Drosophila melanogaster: one gene and its partners. The protein of the gene in region 2 interacts with the protein of the main gene of each other region in a pairwise test. Each region holds a gene or a part of one and is shown on either strand. Other genes may lie near its edges.

Region 1 (5,632 bases), on a different chromosome or scaffold from region 2:
CCCGCTCCCACCCACCAAAGTCGCCACTCGAAGTAGAGTTGAACTAAGCTTATTTACCCATTTTTGCTAATGGCATGGGAGGAAACCCATGGCGAACAGACAGAGGCGGAGAAAGAAATAGGTAGATGTGAATGGAAAGAGAGAGAAAAAGTGGTCCACCGGCTGTAGTAATGCGATAAAACTACACTGTGCTACAGTGGTGAAGATTTACTAAGAGGAAGTCATATAAATCTATGGGTTAAGTTCCATAATTTATGAAGCTTGCTATAAATTCAATACTGCTTTGCATACATAGTCTCAAAGACCGAATTAACTTAGTAATTAATCTGTAAGTCAATTTTTTTCCTTACTATATTTACTTTGTCATTTTGGCTCACTGTGCTGGTCCTTTGTCCTTTGCCAGCTACTTGAATGTTTGCTGTTCCCAGCCAAAACAGAATGCAACTGCTAACATATTTGACCCAAGTCGAAGTCCCCCACCCCCCTCGAGACGCTTCGCCTCCTTGAAGTCCGACTGTGGTATGCGTTTGTTTGCAAACTTGATGAACTATGCTATGCACTGGCCTCTTTGTCTTCCCGCTTTACCCGCTGCCCTTTTCTAGTTACCAGCTCGCCAACCCAGCTGCCCTGGCCCATCAGTCTCCCATCCGGCATAGTTGGCATCACATAATTTGGAATGACCCAAGGTCAGGCGTTGAAATATGAACTCAGTTGATCACTTACAGCGCTTAAGACACGAAAAACCAGAGGAATTCCAGCATAATTTATATTGAGACAAATTTCTTTGCACAAGAAGTGCACAGTGTGTAGTCATAAATAATAGTATCGGTTTAAATAACTTCAATTTTATTGCAATTTAACTACTATATAGTTAAAGTAAGAACCTTGAATATTAAAATGTGCTGGATTTTTCTTTCAGTGCACCAAAGCTATGTGCTGTAATTTTAATTTTCCCACCCAGCATTTCGGTTAATCTTCGCTGTGTTTGTATATTTTTTTCTTTTTTTTGCGCACTTGTGTCGCACTTATGTATCATCATTTGTTTGGCTCTGATTTAATACTAGCAATGACACAATGTTGACGCCGGCCGAGGACAGGCAATTTAACTACGTTGTCGCCACTGCAGCGCGTCAAGGACGTGGGCATGACAGTCGGATGGTCACCCGGCCTTACAGTCATCCAACCATCCAACCATCCAAGCATCCAGCTATCCTGCCATCCGGCCAACGCCTCATCATCGCCCCTCAGTCGTCATTCCGTGTCCCATTAGGCGTGGGCCTTTGTCTTTGCTATCATTATCAACACCCTGCCATGTTGCGTTCTTTTATTTTTCTCTCAGCTTACTGCTTATTCTTCATATTCGCAGGCACAGTTAAAAATAAAATGCGGCCAACGTTGCGTATACGCAATATCAGCATTGAATATTAAGCATACGCAATGTTGAAACATTTAATTCCTTATTGTCAACTAGAACTATAAAGTAATAATTTATACTGTACATTTGTTATATATGTATATATTTTTAGTATGAATTTTCTTTCACTGCATCTGGTTGGTTTATGAGACATTTTGTTGTTGCTTATTTTGCTTTCGCCTTCGTTTTCACTCAGTTCAAGTGTTTTGCATTTTATGCTTGGCACAAGAATCAAGTGGAATGTGAATGGCCAAGAGGGTGAGAACCTTAAAAATACCGTATTTAAATGCCAATCATGTGTGAATCAAAACGTGTTAGATGGGCTATAAGATCAAGTTGAAAGTTAAACACGAAATAGCATATAATTGCTTATATTTGCCAAAATGTTCAATTACTTTAATCGAATTTAATGCAGTTTTATAATTGTTTTATAGTTAGCAAAGTAATTAGATGCACAATGTTTTATTTCTATTTTATGGTACCAAGTCTTTAATACCCATTTAATACCCAGTGTGTAAATAAACGTTTGTTGCCGCGTCTTCGTCATTATCATCTGTGCTGCATCACGACAGTTGGCGTCCTTTTTCAAAAATTAAACACAACGCTGGCCATGCCACGCCCCTCGGTCGCCCACCGCCCCCATTTTCCGACAAGGCTAAACCAAAAAAAAAAAATCATAGAAATAGGAATCAAGACTCAAGAGCAAAAAGATGAAATGAAAATAAAAAGAAATGTCATTTATCACAATATAAAATTGTATGCTAAATAACACGGAATGACCTGAATTAGAAGCACAAAAACCTTTATGAACAATCTTATGTCAGGTTAATAAATCAAATATTTTACGATGATGTACATATATACTATGGTAACTTATAATTTGCTATTCAAAATATTTAGAAAATATATTTACTCTTAGGCATTTTATGGAAGAGCTAAACCTAAAATATGTGCCAAGGTAAAACAATCAATTTAATATCGTATGTATTTTCATGGCCAACTGCAATCGGTCGAAAAAAAATTTCCAAAAATTTCCAATCAACATATCCATGAAATTAAATGTCAAGCCGAAAAATCGAGGTACCCCAGCCGGAGCTCCAGATTATCAGTTATATTTTAGATCCCAAACAGTAAACACCGTTCAGCGGAGCAAAATTTTGTACAACTTTTATTTGGTCAAAAAAAAAAAAATCGAAAGAAAAACTGTTTCTTTTTCACCACTTTCCCAAATTATTTGTATTTAGGATTTACTCAACCGCAACTCACAATATGTCGAATTCGTTTTCGTACTGGAATGGCCAGCCGTTGAATGCTCCCGTTTATCCGCAGATGGGTGACTTCATGCAGCACTCTGCCGCTGGAGCAGCCGCTCCACCACCACTATCAGCAACAGCAGCAGCACCAGGATTAGGATCAGCCGGCGGACTAGGAGGTTGGCCTAGCCAGGGCGCAGCTCAGGCACACTCCATGCTACCATACGCCGGAGGAGCCGGTGGCATGCCGGCTGCCATGCCGGGTGCCATGCCGGGCGTCATGCCGGGTGCCATGTCGGGTGCCATGCCGGGTGCCATGCCGGGTGCCATGTCGTGTGGCATGCCCATTACAGGAGCCCAGCATATAGTGCCGCCACCCGTGGACCGTTCAATATATGGAGACATACCCGGACGAAATGAACCGTGCATCGACAATGGCGAAGCCTTCTGCGCCTACAACGGCATGGACATGAGCATGAACTACGGCGGAGGCAGTGCATCCAAGGGTGGCTTCTGGTAGGATCGATGCCACGAACAATGACAGCACGAGCATCTTCACCGAACGACTAAAGTGAATCGCATATGGGCCATATACATACACAATTAGTTTTCGAACCAAACGTCCGTTTTGTGCAGCTCAAACGACTCGTACTTGGCGAAAATGTATAAAATAAATGTCATAAATCCATAAGATATGAAAATAATCAGTTGGCACAAATCGGTGGGTGGGTTAATTGCATTAATAAATACAGAGATGAGTTAACGTGCGGCAAATTGAATGTGAGAAGAGCGTTGTAAACTCAAATCGCATATATTTTATATGCTAATTACTAAATAGGCAAAATGTGATGTATGGCAAAGGTTACTATTGTTATTTTCACTCGGCAGTCAAATATTGAAGTTTTATTTTTTATACAAATAATTAAAGCACAAATCAAGCTTACATTGTAAATATTTCGATTTTTCTATTTAGTTTAAACAAATCAAATTTAAATAACTAGGTGCAAACCATTTATAAGATTAATAGACCCAATTTTCCACCGTATGATTATCTTGAGCACTTCGTATAAATATATGTTCTTGAGATTCGCATTGTAAAGTACAAAAAACAATACAAGTTTCATCGTTTCTAACTATGCAAATACAACGCCTGCCGCCCCTTTTGTCGTATCACAGGGCGTGGCTGATTGTCACAGTGATGAGATGGCAATTTCTCAACACGCTAACGAGATGCACTTACAAAAAAATGGGTATGCCCATTGGGAAATTATTCTTAAAAAAAGATTCGATGATTTATACTAAAATTACATGAATTTAGCATAATCGTAATGTTACCAAGTCATTATATATTTATTCTATTGTTTGGCTCGAACTTTTCTCTCAGTGTACTAGGCTAGAACTCGTTTGGAGAGCGCACGCAACCATCGCAGCGATATATAAAGTGGATCTTCTGGCCGAGATTCGAGTAATCATCGTTGAAATCGCAATCGAAAATCATGGAACGCTGGCAGAATCGCGTGGCCGTCGTCACTGGCGCCAGTTCGGGCATCGGATCGGCCATAGCCAAGGATCTGGTCCTAGCCGGAATGACGGTGGTGGGTCTGGCCCGACGTGTCGATCGCGTCAAGGAGCTGCAGAGGGAGCTGCCGGCGGAGAAGCGCGGCAAACTTTTTGCCCTCTACTGCGACGTGGGCAACGAGAGTTCCGTAAACGAGGCCTTCGATTGGATCATCCAAAAGTTGGGCGCCATCGATGTGCTGGTCAACAATGCCGGCACCCTGCAACCCGGCTATCTGGTGGACATGAATCCGGCCGTAATGCAGCAGGTATTGCAGACGAACATCATGGGCATCGTGCTGTGCACCCAGCGAGCGGTGCGTTCCATGCGGGAGCGCAAGTTCGACGGCCATGTGGTGCTCATCAATAGCATCCTGGGGCACAAGACCATGACGGCCACGGAGGGCGTGGCGCCCGATGTGAACGTCTATCCGCCCAGCAAGCATGCAGTTACAGCGCTGGCCGAAGGATATCGCCAGGAGTTCTTCGGCCTGGGCACCCGCATCAAGATTACGGTTGGTTCGCTTTCCATTTTCCACTTTCTTCGGATTGAACATTTTTCTAACCCCTTTTTGGCTTTTTCCGCCAACGTAGAGCGTCAGTCCGGGCGTGGTGGACACGGAGATCGTGCCGGACAGCATTAGGGAGGCCATCAAGGATCGAATGCTCCACTCCGAGGACATCGCACAGGGAGTGCTGTACGCCATCGCCACACCGCCACATGTCCAGGTGCACGAGCTGATCATCAAGCCACTTGGCGAGACCATGTAGGCGGAGGAGCTTCAGGAGCTCTGTTCTTTTTTTTTTTTGTATTTTTCCTCTTCATCTTAATATTTTTGCCGTGACAGAAAATATGAAGCACCATATTCACACAATTTTCGTAGACAGTTTAATATTCACAGTTAAGCTATACACGTTGCAATAAAACTATTTAAATTTAAATTTAGTAAGTCGGTTTAATTTACTTAAATTTGAAATTGAAATTCCCTGTCTTGAGCAGTAACAACACATGCAATGAATGCGATAAATAAATGGGAATGCATTTCCATGGGTAAACGGAAAATTGAAAATCCAGCCGTAAGTGAAAAAGTATGGTAAACATATATACGTATGTATTTACTATATAGGAAATGCGAGCAATGGCAAATGACTTTCCGCATAATGGGGCTGGCTGGCAACTAATTGCCAATGGCCCTAATGGCTTTAATTGACAATTTTTGTTGTTTTTTCTTTTTTTTTTTTTAGCTGGCCAAAAAAGAGCACAATTGAAATTTGACACAGAAAAGGCGAGCAATAAATGGGAAAATAAGGCAAGCAAGCCATCCTGCACAAATGGAATTCTCTGTGGTCAAAGAGTGTCATGTGCAATTGGGCATCTTCGAGCAATAGCTTCATTCGAGGAGGAAAC
Region 2 (5,669 bases):
GTAAATATGAACTAAGAATTTGTTTGTCAAGGAAATGTGTTTCTAGGAAAGTACAGCATCGCTGAACCAAAATGTCATACGATCCCCATCGGTAAGTTTTTGAGGTACTTTGATCGAGTGATTCCGTGCCACGGAGTTGTAACGCCTAAAGTTTTCATTTCCGGCGTTTAGGCGATCCGCCATTTCGGCAGCCTGCTGGTTCAAGGACTGTCTGTAGGATAAAGCTGCTTCCGAATGAATATAGCTGGGGCCATCCTTGGATTCAGGTAGTACATTTGACTTGTTGGTCTTTGAAGGGACACGATCATTCCAAGAGTCTTGCCTTGCATTACTTGTGGCAACAACAGACGGGGCTTGTTCTTGAGAACTGGTCAGCTTCTTATCTTGCATTTTAAAATCGGAATGCTTTGGTTTTGCAGATTTTAGAGATTGTTTCGAGTCTGAGTCAGCAGGATTTAATTTGAAGGAGCGCTGCGTTCCAGTTTCTGATGGCTTATTTGAAACTTTTGATTTCATTGTGGTAGAGGAAGCTTTGGCTGCTTCTGAGAAATGTTTCGACTTCAAAATTGACTTCGGAGTGAGGGTGGTATTTGAGGAAATACTGTTGCCTATTGCAGATCGTTTCAATGTTATGTTCGAAGACTTTGAGGCCACGTCACCCTCACTTTGCTTATTTGTGCAGCTCGTCTTGGATGCCGCACTGAATTGTGATATGGATAATTTGGAATTTGCTCTACCATCACCACTGACCTGACGGTTTGACCTTATTGGCATTAGGGTGCGCAAAGAGTCCTTTGAAACCGCTTCCTTTGATTGAGATACCTTGGACAGCTTCGTTGTTGAAACACCACCCGCATCAATGCGATCTTTTTCATTGAGAACTTCGGCCTGCTTCTTGGCCACGGCCATCTCTTCATTGATGGCCTTGGAAATGTCCACCTCGCCGATAGTCGACTTGCCTATACTTTGGTTGCTCTTCCGGGAAACCAACTCCTCTGATGGTTGTACATATTCGGACTTGGGTACGAATACCGGTGGCGGATACGTAACGCATGTAGGTATTTTGAATTCAGATCGGGCTCCACTATTGGGTGGTCCCACATTGAATGGATTGAAGGGTTCTACGTCGAAGTCATCAGGAAACATGTTGGGTAGACAGGTTGGCAATTTCCTGTGGGACCTACGTGTTTGACCTTAACCTCTTAAACACCCAGAACCCACAAAAACTTACCTGATTCGGATTAAATTTTAGAAGGTATGGGCCAGGATGTGGTAATTTCTTGTGTTTGTGTCGGAAAGCCAAACTATTTTTTTCTAATTTTTGATTGGCTTTTCGATTAAGGCATCTCAAACGAACTGACACAAAAATCAGTTTATACTAGTCTTGAACAATTCCATTAAGGCAATCACTCTGTTTTAGGTTCTTTCTCTGTTATTTGTGTATACATAATTGGTGTGGCCACATGAATTCACATTGTTATTTTACATTCAAGTAATCTTGGTTATCCCTTTCTTGTTTTTCTTTTTATCTCTGACAATCTCGGGTGCCTTCTTCAAGTTCTACTCTCGGCTTAATTAAAAATGACTCCCGCTTCCTAGAGAGCTGACAAAGTTTATCAATTCGGAGTGTACGTGATGATAAGGTCGAAAATCCTCTGAGTTTTTCTTTCTTGCAAATATAGGGTGGTTGCTCAGAGTTAAGCCACATTAATTAGCAGGCCGAGGGATTTTCAAGCGAGTGCTGAGATTCTGTTGTCAGATCTATCTAAATCTCTCGTCAGTATTTTGATCAACTTTTAGGAGTGCGGTTGCTGAAATTCGAATTAGAAAATTCTAATAAAAAAAAAGAGACACCATTACAATGAAAAACTCAACTGTGCAAGACAGTTCACCGCAAGTGCCACAGAATGGCATGGTCACCTATGGCAGCGGGCTCGTCTTTGGCGGGAAAGTTTATCCGGTATTGGTGGACGGAAAGCCAATACAGCCACCCTTAGGTGCTCATCAGGCAGCAATGCAACAGCGCATGCAGATGCAGCAGGTACAGCCACAGGCGCCACATACCAACTGCCCCAAGTCCATTGTCCAACAACCTATATATCAACGAATGGAGACCCGGTATCCTGCGCCCTCATACATGTCCAAGCCAAGCCAACAGAGCTCTGTGAGTTGTCCTGGCCCAGTCATGGTGCAGCAGCACTCGCCGTCTAACAATCTCGCGATGATGCAACCGTTGCAGGCGCAGATTTTACAGCGCCAGCAAATGCAAACCTCCATGGGCAGTCCTTGCGGCTACTACAACCTGCCAACGAATGCGGGTGGTGATTCCTGCGGCTGGGACGGCTATGCCATGATGCAGCCAATGGATGCCAACAAGCCGTATACCTTTGGCTGGAGTCTTACCGATTGAGTCCTTTATCCTCTGTAACATTGTCCAAAACAATTAATGAAATTAAATGTGGATTGATTTATTCGAATTTGTTTCAATCAATGTACGTACTGCATGACTACTGTAAAAGTATTCATCTCTCTTGAAGAAGTTCCCCATAATGGCAGTTACTCGTCTGGGCTTCCATTTTGCACTTCATCGAGCTCTGAGGTTGCCCCTCGTATCAGTGGCACCTCGTTTCGGGGGTTGGTCGTCATTTAGTGGTAAATTTCCGTCTTAGTTGCCAGCGAACGTCAGACGTGACATTTTGCAAATTCCGTTTTCAGCATTTTGTCGAATCGTTCCAGCATACATGTGCCACTGAAAGTGGATTCCCAGCACCACCACCCATTTGCCTATTGATGCAGAGCTGCCGGTGGTATCAGTGGATAGGGGGGAGCATGTGTGGCAAAAGGGTTGTAACTGGTTTTCTAGTGGCTTCCGATTTTTTCACTGGCATTCAGCGACTGTTGTGATGGTAGTTTTATGAGAAGTGTCTAATGCCATTAAAATATTAAATCGTGGATTTATATATTTATCAGAATTTGCTAGGCTTTAAATTAATCGAAGATATTAGTGAACTGACATTTCCGCTTTCACATTGCTTATAGCTTGAGGGTGGAGATGGAAAGGGATGCATCGGTTATGCTATATTATTTATTCTACGGCATACCTTATTATTTAACCACAAATAAATGCCAGCAAAGTTTAGGATTTCAGCAAATTAATGCCATCGCAATGGACGTTACTATGGAATCAACTTTCCTGCTTACTGTGATAATTAACATTATTTCCATAAATAACTTTCTTTGTGGCGTGCCTTCGATGCTAAGCTTCTGACGTCATCGGGATTGTGCTAAAGAGAAAACTCAAACCGCAAGCTGCATGTTGGCAAACACTGACACATACCCACTCCGCTCTCTAATGATGATCCCAAAAGTCAACTTGCTAAAGTAACACGAGCTCAAACATGCACATACACACACACACACAGCACAAACACAGGGACAGCGGACTCTTAAGCACATAGTGGTATTAACGCCATAATTCGTAAGTTACACACACACACACACACACAGGAGCCGCAAAAGGATTAAGTTATATTAAAGTTGCAAGCGCTGCATTTTAAGTTCGCCTCCTTTGACGATGCCATAAATGCAGGAAGCCACGAAGTCGAAGCCATGAAGTCGAAGGCAAAGCCAAGGAATTTGCACACACGATCTTGGGTGCAAAAGGACTCTGCTGGCCGAAAAGTGCGCTATGCAAATTCGCAGTGACCCACATTTAAAAAATAATATTAATATTCGGAACGTCGAGCCAGTTATAAATGCAATATATGGCATAAGTTTACGCAACGCAATCCGCCGCCTTCGAAAAAAAAGCCGCCTGGCTTGTATAAATGTGCAATATTTTTATATAGTTGCAGTAGCTGGAATTTTTTGTTGCTGCCAGCCCGCAGGTCAAGAGTTAATTTTTGTTCTCTTATTTTATTTCATTTTTTTTTGTTCTTGTCCTTGCCTTTGCGTGTGCGCACATTTATGCGAAAAGTTGACGTAAAAGTTTAATTTAAAAATGCATTTGGACTGACTTTGACCGTTTCGCTAAAACAATAAAAAAAAAAAAAAATGGCAACCAACAAAAAGCGCCACAAAACCGACAACTATCAACTGCAAAGTCACTGGAGCAGCGAGACATAAAACAAAATTAAATAAATTGACTTTCTTTTGGCTTCAGTTCTGCGCATTTAAATCAATTTACGCTTCGTCTCTCTTTCGCATTCATTAATTGCCAACTGGAAGCTTGATGTTTAATTGTTTTGGCTTTTGTGTGGATAAAGCAGTAGAGAAATGTGCGGAATAAGTGTTTCCATGCCCTGGGTAAATTCTAAGAATTCTCCTAATTCAAAGCGATGACTGATTAAATTAGATCTACCAATGAAAACTTGGCGAGCTTAATTCTCAACCTGTTCATGTTGCTTCTTGACACTTTGCCGAAATTTGGTTTACGACCCTACCGTGTCTAATAAAACTTATATGTCTGGGAGTAATAAAACCCACACAGCCCCCGCCATTCCCGTCGAAATGCCATACGATTTTTTAGGCCAGACCGTTCGGAATTTTGCGAGGGCGAATGGAAACGAGCAGGCGACTTGTTGAAGTGTTTATTGTTTAGAATCCCGCGGCGTCGGCATCAGAATACATAAAACATTTTTTCCTTTTGAATAAAAGATACGCAGATGAGAGTCTTCGAAGGCGGCTAAGTAACCTCTTCAACTTCTGCATGGTTTGGGTGAATGTCTGAGAATTGGATACGCATTTTAAATGTGAAGGAGGTATCCCAGGCTGTTTTTCTTAAATTTAAATATGTGATATGTGTAACCGCATTCCAACATTTTGAATTAGTTCTGGCCGTCAAAATGCTCTATTCTCTGCGTGTGACTGAAAAATGATAGGATTTGTGTGGTTGCAAACACTTGTGTATGTATTGGGACTTCTTAAAAACTGAGAAATCAGCGCTTCGGCTGTCAACAGCTGCTGAGCTCGATCTAAAGATAAAACCAGTTTTCTGTAGCACACCTTTATTTCAATTCACAATGGATAGAAAGATCCGAAACACCCTCCGTCGAACTGCTCGGCTCACAAAACGGAGGCGCTCAGCAGGAGGTAACGAGATTAGCAGGAACAAGGCTGTCGAGCAGCGAACGGTGGAGATTCCTTTGGACCAGAGGCAGGCCCCACAGCAACGGGTCTTCCTCTACATCCAGCTGAACGAAATGAGCAAGCTACCCGAAACGGGGAATCCTCTGGAGCTGCACCTCTACCATCCGAAGAACACACTGCAGAAGATGCAGGAGCGCTACACGACAGATACCATAATCTATCAGCATGAGTTCAATCTGAAGAAGCCCGTATTTGCAATGGGTGTGATGCAGGACGATATCGAGGACATGAACACGTTTAGCGATCAGCCGCTGTTGATATCCCTCTATCAAAGGATTCCCAGGCGCCGCAAGGGAGGATCTGGGAAAGGGAAGTCAAGGAAGCATGGACGCACATCCTCTTCGCGTGAAATAAATCAATTAATCACAGATGCCTTGGAGAGTAAAGAAAATGTTCTAAAGGAGAGATCAAGTAAGTGGTCATCCGAACGTGATGGTGAGGAAGGTGGAGAGGAAGGTGAGGGAGGTACCTTTTCGGAGGAGCGACTGGAACTCCTATCCCGTGGCCACTGCGATCTTCTA
Region 3 (6,623 bases), 370 kb from region 2:
GCTTCATGCCTACGATAAGCTGGTGTGCGAGTACGAGCGGCTAAAAGGCTGTCTTTCGGATTCAAATAAGTTGTCGGAAAATCTGCAGAAGAAAGTGGAGCGTTTGCATGCTGAACAGCTTGCTTTACAAGAAGGAATTTCCGGCCGAGATTCAGAGATTAAACAGCTTCGCTCTGAGCTCAAGGACGCCATTGATGAAAATAAAACAGTGAGAGAAGCAAAAGTAGGCCTGGAAAATAGTCTTAAAGCAGTACAGGAAAATATGTCTGCCCAGGAAGGTCAGTTTAAACAAAAGATTGCTGATATTAAGGGTTCAGTAGACGAGCTTCAGATTAAACTAAAATCTCTGCAAGAAGTAAGAGACCATCTAGAGTCTAGAAATGAAGAGCTTAAAAGAAAGCTAAAAGATGCTCAGGAACTACAGAACATGGTGGATAAGGAGCGAAAGCTCAATTCCTCTCTACGAGAAGATTTTGACAAACTGGAACAAACCAAACTCGATCTCGAAGAGCAGCTTCGAGCCAAGAAAGTAGAAATCGATCGCCGATCCAAGGAGCTTGGCGAAGTGACCAAGGATTGCGAAAATATACGATCCGATCTGGTAAGTTTTATTTATTTAACGCCTTCACTTTTGTATTCTATTATATTTTATTCTATACCAGGAAGCTCAAACTAATGATTTCCTAAAAGAAAGGGAAACTTTGAACTTGACTATATCCGATCTTCGGTTGCATAATGAGCAATTGCTAGAAACCTCGAAAAATTATCTATCAGACATAACAGCAGCAAATAATTTAAATCTCGAAATGAAGAAGAATCTTCACGATCTCACAAAAGAGTGCAAGAGCTTACGTTCCGATCTGGTAATAATTAATCTGGTAATCTATCTGGTTGATTACAATATAGGTAATTAAAATTTTTCAGCAATCCAAAGAAGAATATTTCCAAACGCAAAAGCAACTGTTGGATGAAACAATTTCTAATCTAAAGGAGGAAAACCGCAAGATGGAGGAAAAGTTGAGTTCGGGTAACAAGGCGCTCAAAGAGGATTGCGAAAAGCTCCGTTCAACATTGGTAATATTAGACTTGTCTTTGTAGGTTATTCGGTCGCTAATGAAATATTTATTTAGGAATCAAAGGAACTTATACTGCAACAGAATAAACAAGAGTTAGAGGAAAGGCTGACTGTTATTAATGAGAAGAATGGGAAAAACGCACTACTTGACGCCCAGTTGAAATCCAATGAAACCGCCTTTACATCACTGCGAAAGGCATGGATTAAGCAAAGTTTAGCCATAGAAGCGGCCAATAAAAGAAGCCTCGAGATGGAACAGAAGGTTGATAAACGTACGAGGGAGTACGAAGAACTACGATCAACTCTGGTAGAATAATTGCAATCAAAGGCTCTTATAAAATAGCTTAATGTTTTCTCTTTAAATCGCCTAGAAAACCAGGGAAATCAACTTTCGATCGGAGAAGGAACGCATGGACGGCACCATCTCTAGCCTGTTAGAAGACAAGCGTAATCTTGAGGAGAAGTTGTGCACAGTCACCGAGCTCCTGGCTAAGCTAAAGCGCGAACTGCCGGCTTTACACACGCAAAAAGTGAACGGAGGCGATGTGTCCATTGAGTTGAATTCCTCGAATGGATCGCCGACTCCTGCAGCTGTTCCAGCAACAAAGAAGCCCCTGGACTGCAATTCCGCTGAATGTGTGCCAAAGGTACGTATGATCTTCTAAATTTCAAGCATGTAATATTTTTTTTATTTCTCTCGTAAAGAAATCCAGCAGCCTAGAGACTGCGGAGCGGAAGAATCGACGGATGACGGCCTACGATGAGAACCGTAAGCAGTTTTGCTGAAACGACTTACGTGACGGCGGAACTACGACCGTTCCTTTAGGTAAGTTAAGGTTTGCTTGGCCGCGAAATCGTCTAAACTTTATGTGGTTTTAACTAATATTGCAGGTGGCAATTGCCACTGCGAGCAGCGGAGCTGCAAACAAAGACTGAGTTCGGACTGGAGGCAAAACGTTGAGTTCAACGATGATAAAAAAGATGATTAATGTTATCCAAGTATTAGGGATTTCTTTTGTTAGGTGTTATCTTGCAAACGGTGGAATTCCACATCATAAAGTTTTCTATTTATATTTACGCCCTAAGTATTTGTCAAATACTATCAATACAAAAATTACAAAAACAATCGTGATCGTAGTATTTAAATTTAAATCTGTATTATGCTGGTTTTTGTTTAATAGTTAAATTCGATAAATAGTTAAATATTGTTAATTAAGAAATGTTTCCTTCATCATGTGTAATAATATTTGGTTCATATGTATAGCATTGAATAAACTATTTACATTTTCTTAATGTTAAAATCAGATTCGCATAAGTTGCTGGTTCTAATAATAAAAGACATAAATTACTTAAATGTAAATCTAAATAAGCATAACGCTTCTTGTTTGAATTCCCGATTGCACCAATCGATAAGTCGATAGTAGCGCAAATACATATTCTAGTGTTGTGCATTGGAAAATTGACGGCCGCTTGAGTGTTGTGTACGGCGTCAGTGTTGAATAGCTGCGGACGCAAAACTACGTAAAATTACGACAAAAAAACAGCGCCCCGCGAAAAAAGGCCATGAACTCGGCAATCAAGGTAGGTTCAGCCGCTCCACCACATCCGCCGGCAGCTCCGACCGCGTTGATCCCGTCGCCAGCGCCTCCGCGCGTTGCAAGCGAGAAAAAGGCGGCGCGGGAGAGAGTCGAGAGTCATTCGTTTGTCTCACTCCTGCGAGTGGGAAATTTGTTGTTCCACCGTGAGTGGGCCGGCGGGCGGTGGGCAGGGGCGGTGCGTTTGTTTTGAATTTGCACGCGGTAACAACAAACTGACTCCGGATGCAAATCCGCATGCACTTGCAGGTGGGGGAGATATTCACGGCCGCCGGACAGGCGTTCAGCAGACTGGGCGATCTAACCATGCAGCTGCATCCCAATGCGGAGTCGCCATCGGGGTAAGTTGATTCTATGCGGTGGAGTCGCGAGTTTTGTGGACACTAATCGGAGTGTTTCTGTGTGCCTTGTTCCCTCGCCACGGCTGCAGGAAGTGGACGGACGAGGAGATCGACATGCTGCACTCGTCCATAATGCGCTTCTCCGACGACCTGACCAAGATCAGCCTAAGCATCAAGAACCGCACCGTGTAAGTGATCCTGTGCTCCTGGCGAGGGAACCGGCTGCCCAGTGTGTACGTGCTAGTTTTAATTGACCTTCCCCATTGCAGTTCTCAGATCCGCCAGGCGCTGAAGAAGAAGGCCTTCGAGGACGCCGGCATTCCCGCCAAGCAAGTGCCCGTCCAGCAGGTGCAACACGTTCTCCAGACGCTGCCACAACAGCAGCCGCAGCAGCCCCTTCAGCAGCCACCTCCTCAAGTATTCAAGTCACAGCCAATCGTGCAGCACGTACAGCTGGTGGCGCAGCCAAAGCAGATCATCCTGCATCCACAGTCTAATACAACTACGACGGGCACGACGGTGACTGTTAAGCAGTACCAGCAGATGCAGAAGGCTGCGGCATTAGCGGCAGCCCAGGCTGCAGCCTCGACGGCCAACAACACGCCCACCATCACGGAGAACATCATTATCCAGCAGCCCACTTCGACTACGGCGACAGTGGTGCAGCAGCCACATATGGTGTCCACCTGCTCGTCGACGCAGATCGTGGTGCCCGTTGTGTCGGCAGTGTCCACTGTTCCAACAGTACTCTCGCCCACGGTGGTGATTGCCGACGATGTGGTTAGCACCTCCAATCCTCCAGCGGCAGCGGCGACAGTAGGATCGCCAGCAGGGGCGCCAGCAGGCTTAAAGTGCGGACCAGACGTGTCCATGACCCTCAATCGCATCAATGTCCAGGAGAACGAGGTGGACGTGGAGGAGTGCCTGCCCGCAGAGGTGGTCAAGCTGGATTTTGTCAGCGAGGAGGTGGCCGGGTGAGGTTCGAGCCCTCGGAACGGGCTGGACTTCTTCTACTAGATCTCCGGCCGCAGAACGAATCACGTAACTTGGAACAGAACCGCTACAAATCCAGATCGAGAACTCTTAAGCAAAAAGGTTGAGATGCCGCCCTAGCCCTAAGTCTAAACTGTTAAGTGTTGTCATATTTGATATACCCTGAAATCACCTTGTTCCGGGCCCCGGATGACAAATGAATTGTGCGATGTGGAGGACGAGTCTGTGGATCGCCAGCCACAGAGCGTAGATATTAATTGCGGAGCGTATATGCGCCGCCTAGACTTAAATTTACGCAAGACACAATAGTGCAAAGTACATAACGACGATCGTGTAAGTTGAGAGTGAATAAACGAGCATTATTTTAAGATTCGGCGATCTCTGGGATTTTATTGGAGTTAGGAAAGCCCAAGGAGCGTAGAAATTTAGTTATTTGCAATGGCTTCTACAATCTCATTGCTGTAATTTGTACTTCATACTTTTATTTTGATCAGACTGTATTATAAAAGCATATATATAATTATATTTTTAAAGCACCCAATGCAAACTCAATTGTGTTTCTAATGGTCCGCTAAATTATATTGCATTTTATCTTTATTTGAATGTACCCATCCAATTTATGGGACCTATTTTATAAACCTTTCCTTTTAAATGCACACCACGTATTTTAAATTCATCCAATTATTGTACAATGAAGTCTCGAGAAATTTCGAATGCATTTTCAAATTTCGTTCTGCTCATAATTGCGCTCGCAACCCATACATTGCCATTCGCATGTCGGATTTCAAATCCGCACTTTCAGAATTTCCAAAGCGGGTAGCAAGAAGAAGAGCGGCTAATAAAGATACGGATACATCAACAACAACAGTCGGAAATCCATTGTTCCCCACAAAATGAGACTTCGTTTGCAAGTCCTGGTGGCCCTGTTAACCTGCTCGTCCATTTCCGTCTCACTGGCCTACAAACCGGTGGTCATACTCCATGGAATTCTATCAGGAGCCGAATCGATGGCCTCTCTGGTCCGGGAAATCGAAGAGGTTTGTTTTTCGATTCCCCTTTGTTATTGTTTACAGTGGCAAGGTCGAATTTGACGCAAACAACGCAGTAGCACTGATAAACTCATTTCGTCCGTTTGTAGTTTCATCCTGGCACTATCGTCTACAACTGCGACAAGTTCAATGGATGGTACAGCTTGGAGAACGCCTGGCGACAGGTCGATCAGGTTAGGGATTATCTCAACGAGGTGGGCAAACTGCATCCAGAGGGCATCATTGTGCTGGGTAAGGCAGCCGATTTTCATTAGAGTATTTTCTTTTAGTTACCAATACTATGCCTTTTTCAGGATACTCACAAGGAGGCCTTTTGGCCCGGGCGGCCATCCAAAGTCTGCCCGAGCACAATGTGAAGACCTTTATATCTCTATCCTCGCCACAGGCGGGGCAATACGGCAGTAAGTGAGATCAAAGTTTAAACCAATGAGTAAATTCTATTTATATAGATGCATAACTGCGTCACATTTTTCCGGGCTAAACTCTTTTAAAGCTTACAAGAAACAAATATATTATGTAACTGTGTTCAAAAATTACGCAGTTGGGTTATAAAACAAAGGGGGATCACAATGGTTCAAGTTTTTATTTTTTGGTAATATTTTCAGCTAGCTTCTTGCATCTAATCTTTCCCGACTTGGCGGCCAAGACAGCCTTCGAATTGTTCTACTCGCGCGTGGGACAGCACACCTCGGTTGGTGGCTACTGGAACGATCCGCAGAGGCAGGATCTCTACCTGAAGTACAGCGAATTCCTGCCACTGATCAATAATGAGAAGAAGACCTCCAACTCCACATCTTTTAAGATGGGAATGGTGCGTCTAAATAAGTTGGTAATGATCGGCGGACCCAACGACGATGTGATTACTCCGTGGCAATCGAGGTATGGTTTACTTAGTCGGATATTATCAAAGGTGAAATAACCACAAATCGTATATATTTCCTCAGCCACTTTGGTTACTTTGACGAGAATATGGATGTGATTCCATTTATTAGGCGACCGATTTTCACCAGCGACTCCATTGGCATCAGGACGCTTCAGGAGGCCGGCAAGCTTATCATTGTGGTCAAACCCCATGTTCATCATCTTGCCTGGCACACGCGAAGGGATGTCATCCACGAAGTGATATTTCCATATCTGGACTGAATAAGAAACCAAAACTACTGAACTATACTGAGCGATCAAACGGCTGTGATCGGAAAGGCGGACAAAGGCTCACTCTCATCAATAAGCATTAATGTGAAGTTGCTGCCTGGGTAATTAGGCTACAAACATGATCTTTTATTGGTAACTAAGCTATATATTTTTAAAACAGCCTGCGTATTGCAGCAGAGATTTTTACAAAAACTCATAAACTACTTATAAATAGCCAAATAAAGTGAAACTAGAAATTTTTAAATTGCAATTTCAATGATATATATTTGGATATTAAAATGAATCGTTAAAGTTTATATTTCATGTCGTCAAATTTGTTTGTTGAATTTAAATACTTAAATCTCCCGCGCATTTTTAGTTACTGATAGATAACAATAAGCGATAACTTTACTTATCGCTTAATGAAGAATCGATATTT

The links.
Region 1: the proteins of CG12307 (region 2) and CG1394 interact in a two-hybrid assay, tested with the Drosophila melanogaster proteins (one large-scale study listed by BioGRID).
Region 3: the proteins of CG12307 (region 2) and CG33695 interact in a two-hybrid assay, tested with the Drosophila melanogaster proteins (one large-scale study listed by BioGRID).

Annotation. Positions count from the first base shown.
Region 1 is NC_004354.4:11,167,561-11,173,192, reverse strand, and holds CG1394 (uncharacterized protein), read left to right. Parts: upstream 1-2,514; 5' UTR 2,515-2,683; coding exon 2,684-3,187; 3' UTR 3,188-3,382; downstream 3,383-5,632. Other genes in the region: Antdh (antennal dehydrogenase), read left to right, coding at 4,164-4,739, 4,819-4,995.
Region 2 is NT_033779.5:11,648,132-11,653,800, reverse strand, and holds CG12307 (uncharacterized protein), read left to right. Parts: upstream 1-1,790; 5' UTR 1,791-1,861; coding exon 1,862-2,410; 3' UTR 2,411-2,470; downstream 2,471-5,669. Other genes in the region: CG4983 (uncharacterized protein), read right to left, coding at 43-1,146; CG6614 (uncharacterized protein), read left to right, coding at 5,022-5,669.
Region 3 is NT_033779.5:11,275,475-11,282,097, forward strand, and holds CG33695 (uncharacterized protein), read left to right. Parts: upstream 1-2,546; 5' UTR 2,547-2,638; coding exon 2,639-2,656; intron 2,657-2,676; exon of another isoform or gene 2,677-2,895; coding exon of another isoform or gene 2,896-2,919; coding exon 2,920-3,011; intron 3,012-3,100; coding exon 3,101-3,199; intron 3,200-3,280; coding exon 3,281-3,989; 3' UTR 3,990-4,373; downstream 4,374-6,623. Other genes in the region: cana (CENP-ana), read left to right, coding at 1-601, 663-863, 925-1,074, 1,131-1,382, 1,447-1,722, 1,781-1,861; Ppt2 (Palmitoyl-protein thioesterase 2), read left to right, coding at 4,898-5,041, 5,143-5,284, 5,347-5,454, 5,659-5,932, 5,998-6,196.